3 linked regions of the Macaca fascicularis genome follow. The protein of the gene in region 3 interacts with the protein of the main gene of each other region in a pairwise test. Links are inferred from orthologs where the notes say so. Each region holds a gene or a part of one and is shown on either strand. Other genes may lie near its edges.

What was found.
Region 1: the proteins of FATE1 (region 3) and BIK interact in binary tests that used the Homo sapiens proteins (3 or more experiments, as listed by UniProt). The two-hybrid records come from large-scale screens. The link is inferred for Macaca fascicularis from reciprocal best matches to the Homo sapiens genes FATE1 and BIK.
Region 2: the proteins of FATE1 (region 3) and CCDC70 interact in binary tests that used the Homo sapiens proteins (3 or more experiments, as listed by UniProt). The two-hybrid records come from large-scale screens. The link is inferred for Macaca fascicularis from reciprocal best matches to the Homo sapiens genes FATE1 and CCDC70.

What each region holds. Positions count from the first base shown.
Region 1 is NC_088384.1:8,473,700-8,477,804, reverse strand, and holds the start of BIK (bcl-2-interacting killer), read left to right. Parts: upstream 1-1,297; 5' UTR 1,298-1,351; intron 1,352-4,105.
Region 2 is NC_088391.1:31,027,930-31,032,105, forward strand, and holds the start of CCDC70 (coiled-coil domain-containing protein 70), read left to right. Parts: upstream 1-1,368; 5' UTR 1,369-1,627; intron 1,628-4,176.
Region 3 is NC_088395.1:157,778,733-157,782,961, forward strand, and holds the start of FATE1 (fetal and adult testis-expressed transcript protein), read left to right. Parts: upstream 1-1,419; 5' UTR 1,420-2,389; coding exon 2,390-2,495; intron 2,496-3,537; coding exon 3,538-3,665; intron 3,666-4,229. UniProt on the Homo sapiens protein: Involved in the regulation of endoplasmic reticulum (ER)-mitochondria coupling. Negatively regulates the ER-mitochondria distance and Ca(2+) transfer from ER to mitochondria possibly implicating it in the regulation of apoptosis.

The DNA.
Region 1 (4,105 bases), on a different chromosome or scaffold from region 3:
GCAGTGAGCCGAGATTGTGCTACTGCACTCCAGCCTGGGCAACAGGGTGATATTCCATCTCAAAAAACAAACCAACCAACAACAACAACAACAACAACAACAAACTACAAAAGCAAAGAAGGTCCAAGGCCCAGAAGGAGGGAGGGGCTCTGAAGACTTTATCAGGCTTTACCTCCTCTGGTCCTCCCAAAAGCCCAGCTCTTGGTAGGTGCTGTTGTCCATTTCACAGATGAGAACACTGAGGGGGAAGTAATTACCCTACAGGTGGGAAGAACAGAGTGAGGGTACCCAACAGGTAGCAAACGACAGAGCTGGGGGAGGGGAGCCCCTGCCCCTCCCCTGCCCCTCCCCTGCCCCTCCCCTGCCCCTCCCCTAATCTCTGAGGGGATCAAGACAGAGGTAAACAAGCTTTGCTGTGCGCAGGACAATTGTTACTTTGTTATTCCAAGAGCGCTCTGCCTTCTCCCACCCCCAATATACCCCAGTGCCGCTGTTAGGCACTACTCATCCCCGCGGGGCAGGCTGCCACCAGCCCACCCCGCCTGGAACCTTCCTGATTTCTCTGTCCCTCGCGGGGGCTTTGGGGTCCTTCTCACCAGGTCTGCACGTGGGCCCCCTGCCCCCAATCCCTCCCGTTCCGACCTGCCTCTCGCGCACCCGGAGCCCCGACGAGAGGGGGAAGGCAGGGGGTGGGTGCTGCAGCTGGAAGGCTGCGGACGGGCGGCAGTGGAGGGCCAGTCCCCCTGGCTTCGGGTATGGAGCACTGGATGCTGCTGCTACCCAAGTGTGAACCTCGGTTTTCATATTCGTGAAATAGGCTTAAAAACACCTAAGTCCCGAAGCTGCCAGCCTAAGGAGCACGTTTTTGAACGCTGGCTTCACGCTGTCATTTAGCAAGTCATTTCGTCCTCTTGGAGCCTCGGTGGGTAAAATGATCGTGAAAAAAAGCACCGAGGAGTACTTTGAGCTCGAAGGGAGGCCATCTGTGTAAAGGGCTTGGATTATACACCCAGATTCTGTCAATGGATCGATCTCGACTGCACGCCCGTGCTGGGCGCAGGGGAAACAGCGACGCACGGGACAAAACAAGCTTGCAGAACCGCAGGGGGCAGAGAGGCTGTAAACAAGCCAACCGGCTGCACTTGTAGCGGTTCTGTTGCCAATGCCATTCAGACCCCAGTCCGGGATTCCGCGCTCGGGGTGCGAGAGGCCGCTCCCGGGGCGGGGCGGGACCCGGGCGGGGCGGGAGGGGCGGGGCGCCCGGACCTATTAGGTCCCGCGCCGGCAGCCGGGCAGTAGACACGAAGCTTCTCCGGTGGCTCACAGACGCTGCCAGCATCGCCGCCGCCAGGTGAGTGCCCCTGACCCTGCTGCCGCCCGCCGCTCCACCCAGCTCGAGCCCGGCGGTTAGCGCCCAGGCCGCGGCCCGGGTGCCGAGCGGCTGGAAGTGTGGGGACCCGTGCCCAGGTTTTTCCGCCTCAGCAAGTCGCTGGCGAGTCCCTTGTGGGGCGACGTCTCGGGACTCCGGCTCCGAAACATCCCCTTTCTGCCCAGGGCTCCAGGTCCCCGACGGCCGATCGTGCCAGGCGCGGCCCCTGCGGGCCTCAGTCTCCGCGCCTGTGCAATGGGGTGGTTCCTCTGCGTCTCACCGCTATGGCCGGACGCTCCATCGCCCTCGCACCATCCTCGAGGGCGGCTTCCGGGCACCGGACTCCGACCTCTGGGGTCGTGCGGACCCGGCCAGAGCGCAGCGCGGCACCGCCAGCCCACGGCCGCTGCCGCACAGCCCCGGTGCCCTTAAAAGAGGGAAGATGGCGTCGTGCCCGGTGCTGCTGGGACCGGCTCCCAGAGGCGCTGTGCACCTAAGGGCCGAGGAAATGCTTCGTAACGGGACGCCCAGAAAGTCCGGAACAGGAACGTGCACCCGGAGCGGCGCGCAGCCGCCCGCCCACACCTGCCCATGCGCCCTGCACAGGTGCGCCCCGGACTGGTCGCGGGGACTAGAGCCCGGCTGGGGCGTGCGACCTTGTTAGGTAAATTGGGGGTGCGCCCCTGCGGGTGACCCGAGAGGGGTCCCCCCGCCTGCGGGGCGCGGTCACGACAAGGCTTGTGGGGTTCGGAGCTGGTCGTCGTCTGGGCTCTGGCCTCCTAAATGCGATCGCTTTCAAGCCCCTTCATTGTCAGTTTTGCCAGAATGAGCCACTTGTGGGGTAGGACGTGGTTGTTGATGTTGTTGTTGCTCTTACTACTGTAACATTTTTGTTGCTGTTTTAACGCAGTGTTTACTGTGGCCTGGGAGCCCGAGCTTCCCAGGGAGGTTGGTGTCTGCCTCATGTCCCCACATTAGGAGGAGCAGAGTCTGGTGGGCACTAGCGCCGGGAAGTTATTAACATCTGTCCGTCCTTGGGAGCAGGAGGCCTCGTTTTCCAGGTGGAGAAACAAGAGATTTCAGTCACAGGAGGCACAGAAATGCCAGGGTTGTCTAGCTGGAAGCCAAGGACCCTTTATGGAACCCAAGCCAAAACCTCTTTACACTCTCCAGCCCTGTGGCCTCCGAAGGGCTATTCCATCTCTCTGAACCTCAGTTCCTTCTGTTCATTCTGCAAAATGTATTTCTGAGGTTTCTGCCCAGATGAAGAAAGCCCGACTCAAGTTAGTAGCCTCCGTGTAGTTAAGACTTACCCTGATTTCTACTTAATTTGGGCATGTCTTTGGAATAAGTTCTCAGAAATGGCACAGTCTGGGTGTTTTTTTGTTTTGTTTTGTTTTGTTTTTTGAAACAAGAGCTTTGCTTTTGTTGCCCAGGCTGGAGTGCAGGGGCGTGATCTCGGCTCACTGCAACCTCCACTTCCTGGGTTCAAGCCATTCTCCTGCCTTAGCCTCCCTAGTAGCTGGGATTACAGGCGCCCACCACGACACCCAGCTAATTTTTTGTATTTTTAGTAGAGACGGGATTTCACCATGTTGGCCAAGGTAGTCTCGAACTCCTCCTGACCTCAGGCGATCCACCCACCTCAGCCTCCCAAAGTGCTGGGATTACAGATGTGGCCCCATGCCCGGCCCTTTTATTATTATTACTATTATTATTATTATTATCATTATTGTCTTAAGGATATTAAGACTAAAATTCTCACACATTTGACACGTGCCTGTAATCCTAGCACTTTGGGAGGCTGAGGCAGGAGGATTGCTTGAGCTCAGTAGATTGAGACCAGACTGGGTAACATGGTGAAACACTGTCTCTACCAAAAAAAGCAAAAAATTAACTGGGCATGGTGGCATGTGCCTCTGTTCCTAGCTACCCAGGAGGCTGAGTTCAGAGGACTACCTGAGCTTGGAGGGGTTAAGGCTGCAGTGAGCCCTGATCACACCACTGCACTCTAGCCGGGGAGACAGAGTGAGACCCTGTCTCAAAAAAAGGAGCATTAGGCTGGGCATGGTGGCTGACATCTGTAATCCTAGCACTTTGGGAGGCCGAGGGAGATGGATCACCTGAGGTCAGGAGTTGTGCAACTAGCCTGGCCAACATGGCAAAATCAGTCTGTTTTAAAAATGCAAAAATTAGCCAGGCGTGTTGGAGTATGCCTGTAATCCCAGCTACTTGGGAGACTGAGGCAGGAGAACTGCTTGACCCTGGGAGGCGGAGGTTGCACTGAGCTGAGATCATACCACTGCACTCCAGCCTGGGCCACAGAGTGAGACTCTCTGTCAAAGGAAAAAAAAAGCATCAAATGGTAGATCCCCAGTGTCTGTTACAGCTCAGGTACTCTATGGCTAGATAGAGGGGCTGCATACATATTAGTTATTGTAAGTTTTTTTTTATTTGAGACGGAGTTTCACTCTTGTTGCCCAGGCTGGAGTGCAATGGCTGGGAATACATGCGTGAGCCACCTCGCCTGGCTCAAGTTTCTTACACATTTGACTTGCCTGTAATCACAGCACTTTGGGAGGCCAAGGCGGGAGGATTGCTTGAACCCAGGAGGTGGAGATTGCAGTGAGCAGAGATGGCACCACTCACTGCACTCAGCCTGGGCTAACATGAGACTCCATCTCAGAAAAAAAAAAAAAAAATGATATCTTATGCCACAGAGCTGCAAAGAAACCA
Region 2 (4,176 bases), on a different chromosome or scaffold from region 3:
AAAATTTCTGGAGAAATTCTGGATGGACTAGGGGTCCACTGATGGATGAATAGATAAAGAAATTGTAGCATGTATATAAAGTAGAATATTATTCAGTCATAAAAAAAGAATCCTGCCATTTGTGACAAGATAGATGAACCTGGAGAACATTATGCTAAGTGAAATAAGCCAGACACAGAAAGAAAAATGCTGCACAATTTCACTTATATGTAGAATCTTAAAAAAAAAAAAAAAAAAAAAAAAGAGGCCAGGTGTGGCGGCTCACGCCTGTAATCCCAGCACTTTGGGAGGCCGAGGCGGGCGGATCACGAGGTCAGGAGATCGAGACCATCCTGGCTAACATGGTGAAACCCCATCTCTACTAAAAATACAAAAAAATGCCAGGTGTGGTGGCGGGCGCCTGTAGTCCCAGCTACTCGGGAGGCTGAGGCAGGAGAAGGGCGTGAACCCAGGAGGCAGAGCTTGCAGTGAGCCGAGATCGCGCCACTGCACTCCAGCCTGGGCAACAGAGCGAGACTCCGTCTCAAAAAAAAAAAAAGAAGAAGAAGAAGAAAAAGAGAGAAAAAAGTCAAATACATAGACAAAGAATAAAATGGTGGTTGCTCGGTGTGGGGAGGAGACAGGAAGAAGGAGATCAAAGGGTACAAAGTTGCAGATATATAGGATAAATAATTTAGAGATCTAAGGTACAACATGGGGACTATAGTTAATAACATTGTATTCAGGATTTTTGCTAAGAGTAGATTTTGGGTGCTCTTGCTACAGTGCACAAAAAAGGGTAACTATATGAGATATGGATATGTTAATTTATTTGACTATTTAAAAATTTTACTACGTGACAAAAATTCTGGAGTTGAAAATGAAAAATTAAAGAGGAGTTCAACAGCATATTTGAACTGACAGAAGAAAAAATCCACAAGCTTGTAAACAGGTTAACTGAGATTATCTAATCTAAGCAACAGAAAGAAAAAAGAATGAAGAAAAATGAATATAACTTTAGAGACCTGGGGGACACCCTCACGCTACCAGTATTCACATAATATGAGCCCTAGAAGGAGAGGAGACAGAGAAAATGGAAGAAAGAATATTTGAAGAAATAGTGGCCAAAAACTTCTGAAATTTGATGAAAAACTATCAAATCTGCATATCCAAGAAGCTCAACAATCTCCAAGTAGAATAAACCTCAAGACCAAGACACATCCTAGTCAAACTATCAAAAGCCAAAGACAAAGAATCTGGAAAGCAGCAAGAGAAGTGATTCATCCCACACACAGCCCTCCCCAGACCATGACTTCCTAGAACCATGCTCCTGGAACCAATGCCGACAGAATCTGAGGTAACAATCACTTGTGAGTCATCAACAGCACTGCCCTATCAGGGAAGTCAAAGACGGAAAAGGAACTCTTTCAGACCTTTCAAGTGCCCCCTCCTTTCCTTAAAGTCTTTTATAGGGGACTCCTTCTTAGAGTCTCCATCCTGTGAGTCAGGTCTGAAAGGGCACAGACAGGTCACAGTCAGCATTGTTGGGGCAGGCCTGCAAGCAGCGTCATCGGGGATCTCACATGACAATGGCCGCCTGTACCCTCTGAGGGCTACAGGATCTACCCCGTTGGCAAGCAGCTAAGCAGTAAGTAACTGTTGGCTTTAGATTGTATAGTATTTGTTCTAAGCATAAGGTCATATATAATATTTTCCTTAAAAAGAAGTTCCTAGTCTTACAGTATAACTGAAAACTAGGCATGTTTATTTAATGTGCATTTTTATAGCTATACAGATACACATCTACAGTTTTATGTTGTACTTTATATCTTAACACACATCTACATATTTGATATGGTTCTTGTTTTCTTTCTTTCTTAAAGAAAGTTCAGTGTTCACTTGAGAAAAACTTGGAGGTGAATTTTTTCCAACATCCTAACCCAGTAGACGCCCATTCATCCAGCTGCTATTTTCTGAACACCTATCCTGTGGCAGGACGTTTCACGGGATGCCAGACATAGAGATGGAAGATGAGGTGTTTCTAGTGGGACAGAAAGGGCACATGCTCAGTCTGAGCTTAGGAGAGACTGCCTGGAGGAGGTATCTGAGTGCTGAAGGATTCGCTAGGTGAACTGAAGTGAGCTTGGGCAAGGCTATCCAGGGAGAGGGGACCAGCAAGACATGGAAGTGAGGGAGGACCTTGCATATTGGACAGATTCCAGGCAAAGAGCCATACAACATAGAAAATCAAATTTCCAAAATGCAGTTAAATTCAGTTCAATTCAACCAACATTTTCACCAGTTCCCTCCTATATAGACGGCTTTATATTATAATAGCTCCTGGGTTACAGAGATGTCAGGAAGACATGTCTACACCTAATTTCAATCAAGTCTGACAAGTAACAGTGGAGTAACAGACAGATAGCATCGTGGAGGTGGCGAGGAACTTTGTCTGGAGGGTCCGAGTGGCTTTCAGAGGGGAAGGGATGAACAGGAATTCAAGCCCACCATAGGAGGAAAAGGGGCTCTCAGTAGAGGATGTGGCATGTGCTTCAGCATCCAGGCAGGAAACTGGAGGCAGGGTGCCAAGAGCTGAATAGAGCTCATTCATACTGGGCCTTAGATTTGGAGTTGGGTACAGGCTGGGTAGGAAGGACAGGGAGAAGCAAGCTGGAGTTGGGCTGCACAGGGCCTTCCTAGGGCATTCAGCTTTGATCGTTGGGCTACAAGGTCTTTGAAGGTGTGTGAACTGATGTGATAGGACGAGAAAGTGTTTTAGAAAACACCTGTAGGGCTACAGTGCAGGGGCAGATAAGAGGGTAAGATCAATACAGAGAGCAGCGAGGCTATTTCAGGCATCCTGGCCTGACCCGGCTGTGGTTGGGGAGATGGAACAGGGGCATGGTTTCAAGAAATGTTAAAGATCTCAGCTAGGCGGGCTTGATGGTTGAGGAGAGAAGTCTGGTGAGGGAGAGGGAAAGGTCAAGGATGTGCCCCTGGTTCTGGTTTGTGTGACTTGACGGATGGTGATGCCACCAGCTGTCCACAGCCTAGCCACTGTCTCTTCATATGGTTGCGCGCGTGCACACACACACACCCCCAGTTGTGTCTTTTCTCCTCCTCCACTCCCTGATCCTAAACCAGAAATGGAAAAACACAGAGAAAGCCCCGAAAATTTCCCCAAAAGGTCTCATGGATGATGGATCAGTGAGGTCCACTGAGTGAGGGCCAGACCCTGGCAACTTCCTCGAGAAAGCACAAAATGGAAAACAACGCTCTCAGCATATGCATGCACCACTTATCTGACAACACAGCTCTTTACTGCCCCCTAACCACCTTCCTATGTCCACTGCTTTTTCTCATCCCTTGATTCATGTTTGTAGTTACAGGGATTGTTACGGATAGTTCTGCTATCTGATTCCTCAGATATATGGCAATGTTTGAAGATCTTTCTCCTTCCCTCCCTCCCTCTCTGTCTTTCTTTTTCTTTTCTTTTTTTCTTTTCCTTCTTTCTTCTCCCCAGCTTTTATTTTATTGTGATATATACTGTATTGACTGGGGTACATAAAATATCCATGTACCGCTTAACACGTTTTTATAACAACACACATGAAACCACCACCAAGCAAAGAAACAGAATGCTGCTAGCACTGCAGAAGCCCCTCTCAAGTACTCACTTAATCACAATCCTTAGTCTCACCTCCTCATCCCACACCCCAAATCCTCCCACACCAGCAACTATTACTCTGACTTTGGGACTCACTTCCTTGCTTTTCTTTCTGTGTTAACACTGAAGTATGTTCCCCTAGACCATGGCATTTAGTCCTGCTTGTTTGGAACTTCATTCTTTGAAATTCCCTGATCCTGCTTCTCTCTTTCAGCAGAGTGTTTATAAGATTCACTCATGCTGTTGTAGGCAGCCATGCTGTCTGCCATGTGGATATAGCGCCATTTTTTATTCCACTCTATTGGGATGGTCACTGGATTGTTTCCAGAGTTGAGCTCTTATGAGCAAAGCTCCTCGAACACACTTGTACATGTATCCTAGTCACAGTTCCTAAGTTTCCTCAGGGTTTATATCTGGGACTGGAGTTGCTGGGTCATCTGGTGTCTTTCTTATTGTTCCATATTACTCAATATTGCGTGAGGGTCTTCTTGTTCCATGATCCTGGCAACATTCACCATTGTCTCTCACCT
Region 3 (4,229 bases):
TCTCTGTCACCTCCAAGTTGTCTTTGGCACTCAATCCAAGCGGGGAAGGCACGCTAAGGGGGTGAGATGTTGGGGTTTCTGAGTGGCCTTGGGGGTTCAGGGGTTGGGAAGGAATTCTCCCACCCTCTTTGCTTGGCTTTAGGTGGTGGATTCTTATGCCACCAGGGGGCAGTGCCTCCACATGCACCTGGACCCTGTGCTCCTGTGCCCAAGAAGCCCCACCAGGGTCAGTTGATAACTAGACAGAAATCTGGCCTCCATAGCCTGAGGCCCTGTGGCAAGCCAGTGCCTACACTACTGTAGCTTTGCTGACTTCTGAGTGCTCCTCACAATCCAGCCACCCTGTAGGGAGGCTTGTCCATGGTGGAGACTGACACCAAAAGAAGGGAGAAACTTGCTCGAGGTAAAATCTTGAGGTCATAGTGAGATAAGATTGTCAGATAGAATACAGGATATGCAGCTAAATTTCAATGTTAGATCAACCCATGAATCCTTTTTTTAGTGTAAATATGTCCCAAAGGTTAGTGTACAAGAGAGAATACTTACACTACAAATGTAGTATAAGTACAGATGTGTTGTTTATCTGAAATTTAAATGTACTTCGTATCTGTATTTTCATTTGCTCAATCTGGCAACCTTGGCTGGGCTTCCCAGGCTCCTGAATCCCACTAAGCTGAGCACACTCAGTAGTTTCTCTGCTCCCAAGGTGGCCCTCCAGAAAGCTCAAATTTCATCGCAGCTGCTCCACTAGATCTGGGAAGGGCTTCTTTGGGGCCCCCAGGAATGCAGGCAGGGCCTATATCAGCTCTGCTTCCCAAGAGCTCGGCCCCAGCGCTGGACAGGTGAGGTGGGGGCAGGGGACAGGCAGCCTCAGACCATGCTGCCCTATCTCAGCTAGTTCTGACCCCTTCCTTTGCACTCCCTCTCCTTCCTTCCTTCCTTCCTTCCTTCCTTCCTTCCTTCCTTCCTTCCTTCCTTCCTTCCTTCCTTCCTCTTTTCCTCCTTCCTTCTTTCCTTCCTTCCTTCCTCCCTTCCTCTTTTCCTTCCTTCCTTCCTTCCTTCCTTCCTTCCTTCCTTCCTTCCTTCCTTCCTTCCTCCCTTCCTCTTTTCCTCCTTCCTTCCTCCTCTTTATCCCACCTGACCCAAGGGCTCTGGGGGAAGAAGAGGCTATTTCTAAAAGGAACGTTTTATAAACCTGTCCTGATTCCTTTCACAAATAGCCTCCTATTCCCCCAGGGGCTCTGGGGTTGTTTCCTAGAATGAAGGGTTCACCACAGGTCGTGTAGCAATCAGTGTTTTCCAGAGAAACATAACTGATAGGATGTATATATGTATGTATGTATATATGTATATATCTGCATATGCACAAGTATATATACATTTATTTTAATAAATTGACTTATGCAATTGTGGGGCTGACAAGTCTGAAATGTGCAGGGCAGCCTGGCAGGCTGGCAACTCAAAGAAGAGTTGACACTGCAGTCCTGGGGTAGAATTACCTCTACTTTGGGAAACCTCAGTCTTTGCTCTTCAGGCCTCTCAGTTGATTGTGTGAGACCAACCCACATCATCGAGGATGTGTCTCTACTTTACTTCAAGTCCACTGGTTGTAGATGCCAACCACAGCTACAAAATGCCTCCACAGCAACACCTAGACTAGTGTTTGAAGGAGTCACTGGGGACTAGAACCTGGCCAGGTGACACATAAACCTGACCATCACAGTGGTCTAATCAGTAGGGAAACTGAGGGAGAATTGGGACTTAGAAGGTGCAAGGCCTGAGGCCCCTGGGAGTTCTAGTGGCTGCAGTCAGGTCCCACCTCTCTTACCCTTCTCTCCCTTTGTTCTCATGGCTCCTGCCTAGTCTGACCTACTTCAGAAAAAGGCTACCTCCCATGTCTGGGGACTCTGGATGGGGGAGGTAGGATATGCTCTCCAGAGAATCTCTTCTGAAGGTGTGGTATGGCCTGGATTGCTAGGACCTAACTCTGCTGTAGCCACTGCCTGGCTCTTGGACCCTGTGCCAATCCCTGTTTCTTCATAGAAATGATGGAGGGTAGACCCTACCCTTCCCCCCATGGGCTAAATATGGAGATTCATGAGCCAGAGCAGTTCTCACAGTCAAAGGCATGGAATTGTATCTCTTCTCCTAAGTTGCTTACAGAGTAGCAAGGAGAAGGCCACGGACCTAGCCAACAAGATACAATAGAAACAGAAAGTGCTGAGTCCAAGGCCTCAGCCTAGAGAGGGAGTCTTGCTCCACCCCCAGGTCTGACTATATCTTCCTTGAGCTCCTGTTCCAGGAAGAGGTGATTTTCTGAGTGTGACTCCTCTGTTCCTGGCACCCTGTACATCCTTAGCCATAGCTTACAAGTGAACAGCTGGTTGTGATGGCAGGAGGCCCTCCCAACACCAAGGCAGAGATGGAAATGTCCCTGACAGAAGAATTGAATCATGGACGCCAAGGGCAAAACCAAGAGCACCTGGTGATAGCGGGTGAGGATCCCCTAAAATACCCCTAGGCTACAGCCAACTGTGTAGATACATGTCTGTACCTGTGCATGTGTGTGTTGGGAAAGGTGCATGTGTGCATGGAAGTGTTTGCACATCTGTGTGTTGGGCGGGCTTTGAGGATTTGTGGGTTGATGGTAAGGGATCTAGGAGAAAAGGGATAGATGATGTGAGCATTTTGCCCTGGGAGGGAGGAGGATGGGAACAACATGTGTGGTCCCTCTGTCTTCCCCTTGTCCAAGCCACCACAGTGTCTGTTGCAAAATACTCAGAGGGCTCAAATTATGAGACCAGAGATCAATTCTCTCTCCCAACCCTCGAATTCATTTTCCTGCCATTTGGAGGAAAATCCAGACTCCATGATCTATAAGATTGTATCAGCCTCCTCAAAACATTTCATACTATGATATAGACAGAAAATACCATTTCTATAGCACACAAAGGGATCCAGATCACATTGCATTTATGTTTGTTCTTACAATGCTCCAAGCCTGCTTCTTCCCCAAAGACCTTGCATTTGCTGTTTCCTCTGTCTGGAATGCTCTTTCCCTCAATTTCCCAGGGCTGGGTCCTTTATTTTTTTCAGGTCCCTGCCTCAATTGTTGTCTCCTACTTTTCTAGAAGGAGCCCTTTCCTTCCACTATGTTACCCTGTTTTGATCATTTATGGAGCCTGCATCTCTCTGTCTGCATTTGCAAGGATAGACCTTCTGTTTTACACCTGTCATTCACTCTTATACACAAAACAGATGGTCAGTTCCTTGATAGCTGGAATCTTGTTCTTGGTCATTGCTCTCTAGATTACTGGAGAGTAACCTAGTCTCGAGCTGAGCCCTCAGGATTCTTGTTTAACTTTTGAACAGATGAACAAACTGAGACCTGGGATCAGCTGGTGGACAGTGGTTAATGGGTGCTGAGTGATTCCCAAGAAAGCTGGGGACTCTGTCTTCTTTTTGGTGTGTTTTGTGCCCAAGAAGCCCTGGTACAACTTCTATGGGTGCTCCTGGGGTCTCTGTTCTTCTCTCTAGAAATGATGGAGCATGGATCTCGGTCCCTGGGTGCCTCCCAGAAGAGGCAGAAGTTGGAACAAAAAGCTGCTGGCTCTGCTTCAGCGAAACGAGTTTGGAATATGACTGCCACCCGATCCAAGAAAATGGTACTGCATGGGGTCCTCAGCACATGTTGGCCAGGTTGGGGTTGGGAGTACTGGTTGTAGGGGCTGTAGCCTGACCAGGTCAGGCAGGGCTAGACATTGACTTGTGAGGAGGAGGAAGCTCCTGTATTCCAAGCTGGCAAATGAGGACAGAAAGGTCAGGGTCATCCTTTCCTATGCTTGGGATGCAACCTTGGGAGTTCAGAATGCCTGAAACAAATATTGCATGGGGAGTACATAAATATTTCACTCTGTAAATCCATTGTGTGAAATAACGCTTCCTGTATTTAAAATTGTGTGTGTGGTGCGTGTGTGTGTATACACACAATAACTCAGGTGAGGCTCCTACGCTTTCTGGCTGTTAAGAAATCCAGTCAAGTCGTCTGGCATGGTGGCTCATGCCTGTAATCTGAGCACTCTGGCAGGAAGAGGTGGACGGATCACTTGAGGCCAGGAGTTGGAGAACAGTCTGGCCAGCATGGTGAAACCTTGTCTCTACTAAAAATACAAAAATTAGCTGGGCATGGTGGCACATGCCTGTAATCACAGCTACTCAGGAGGCTGAGG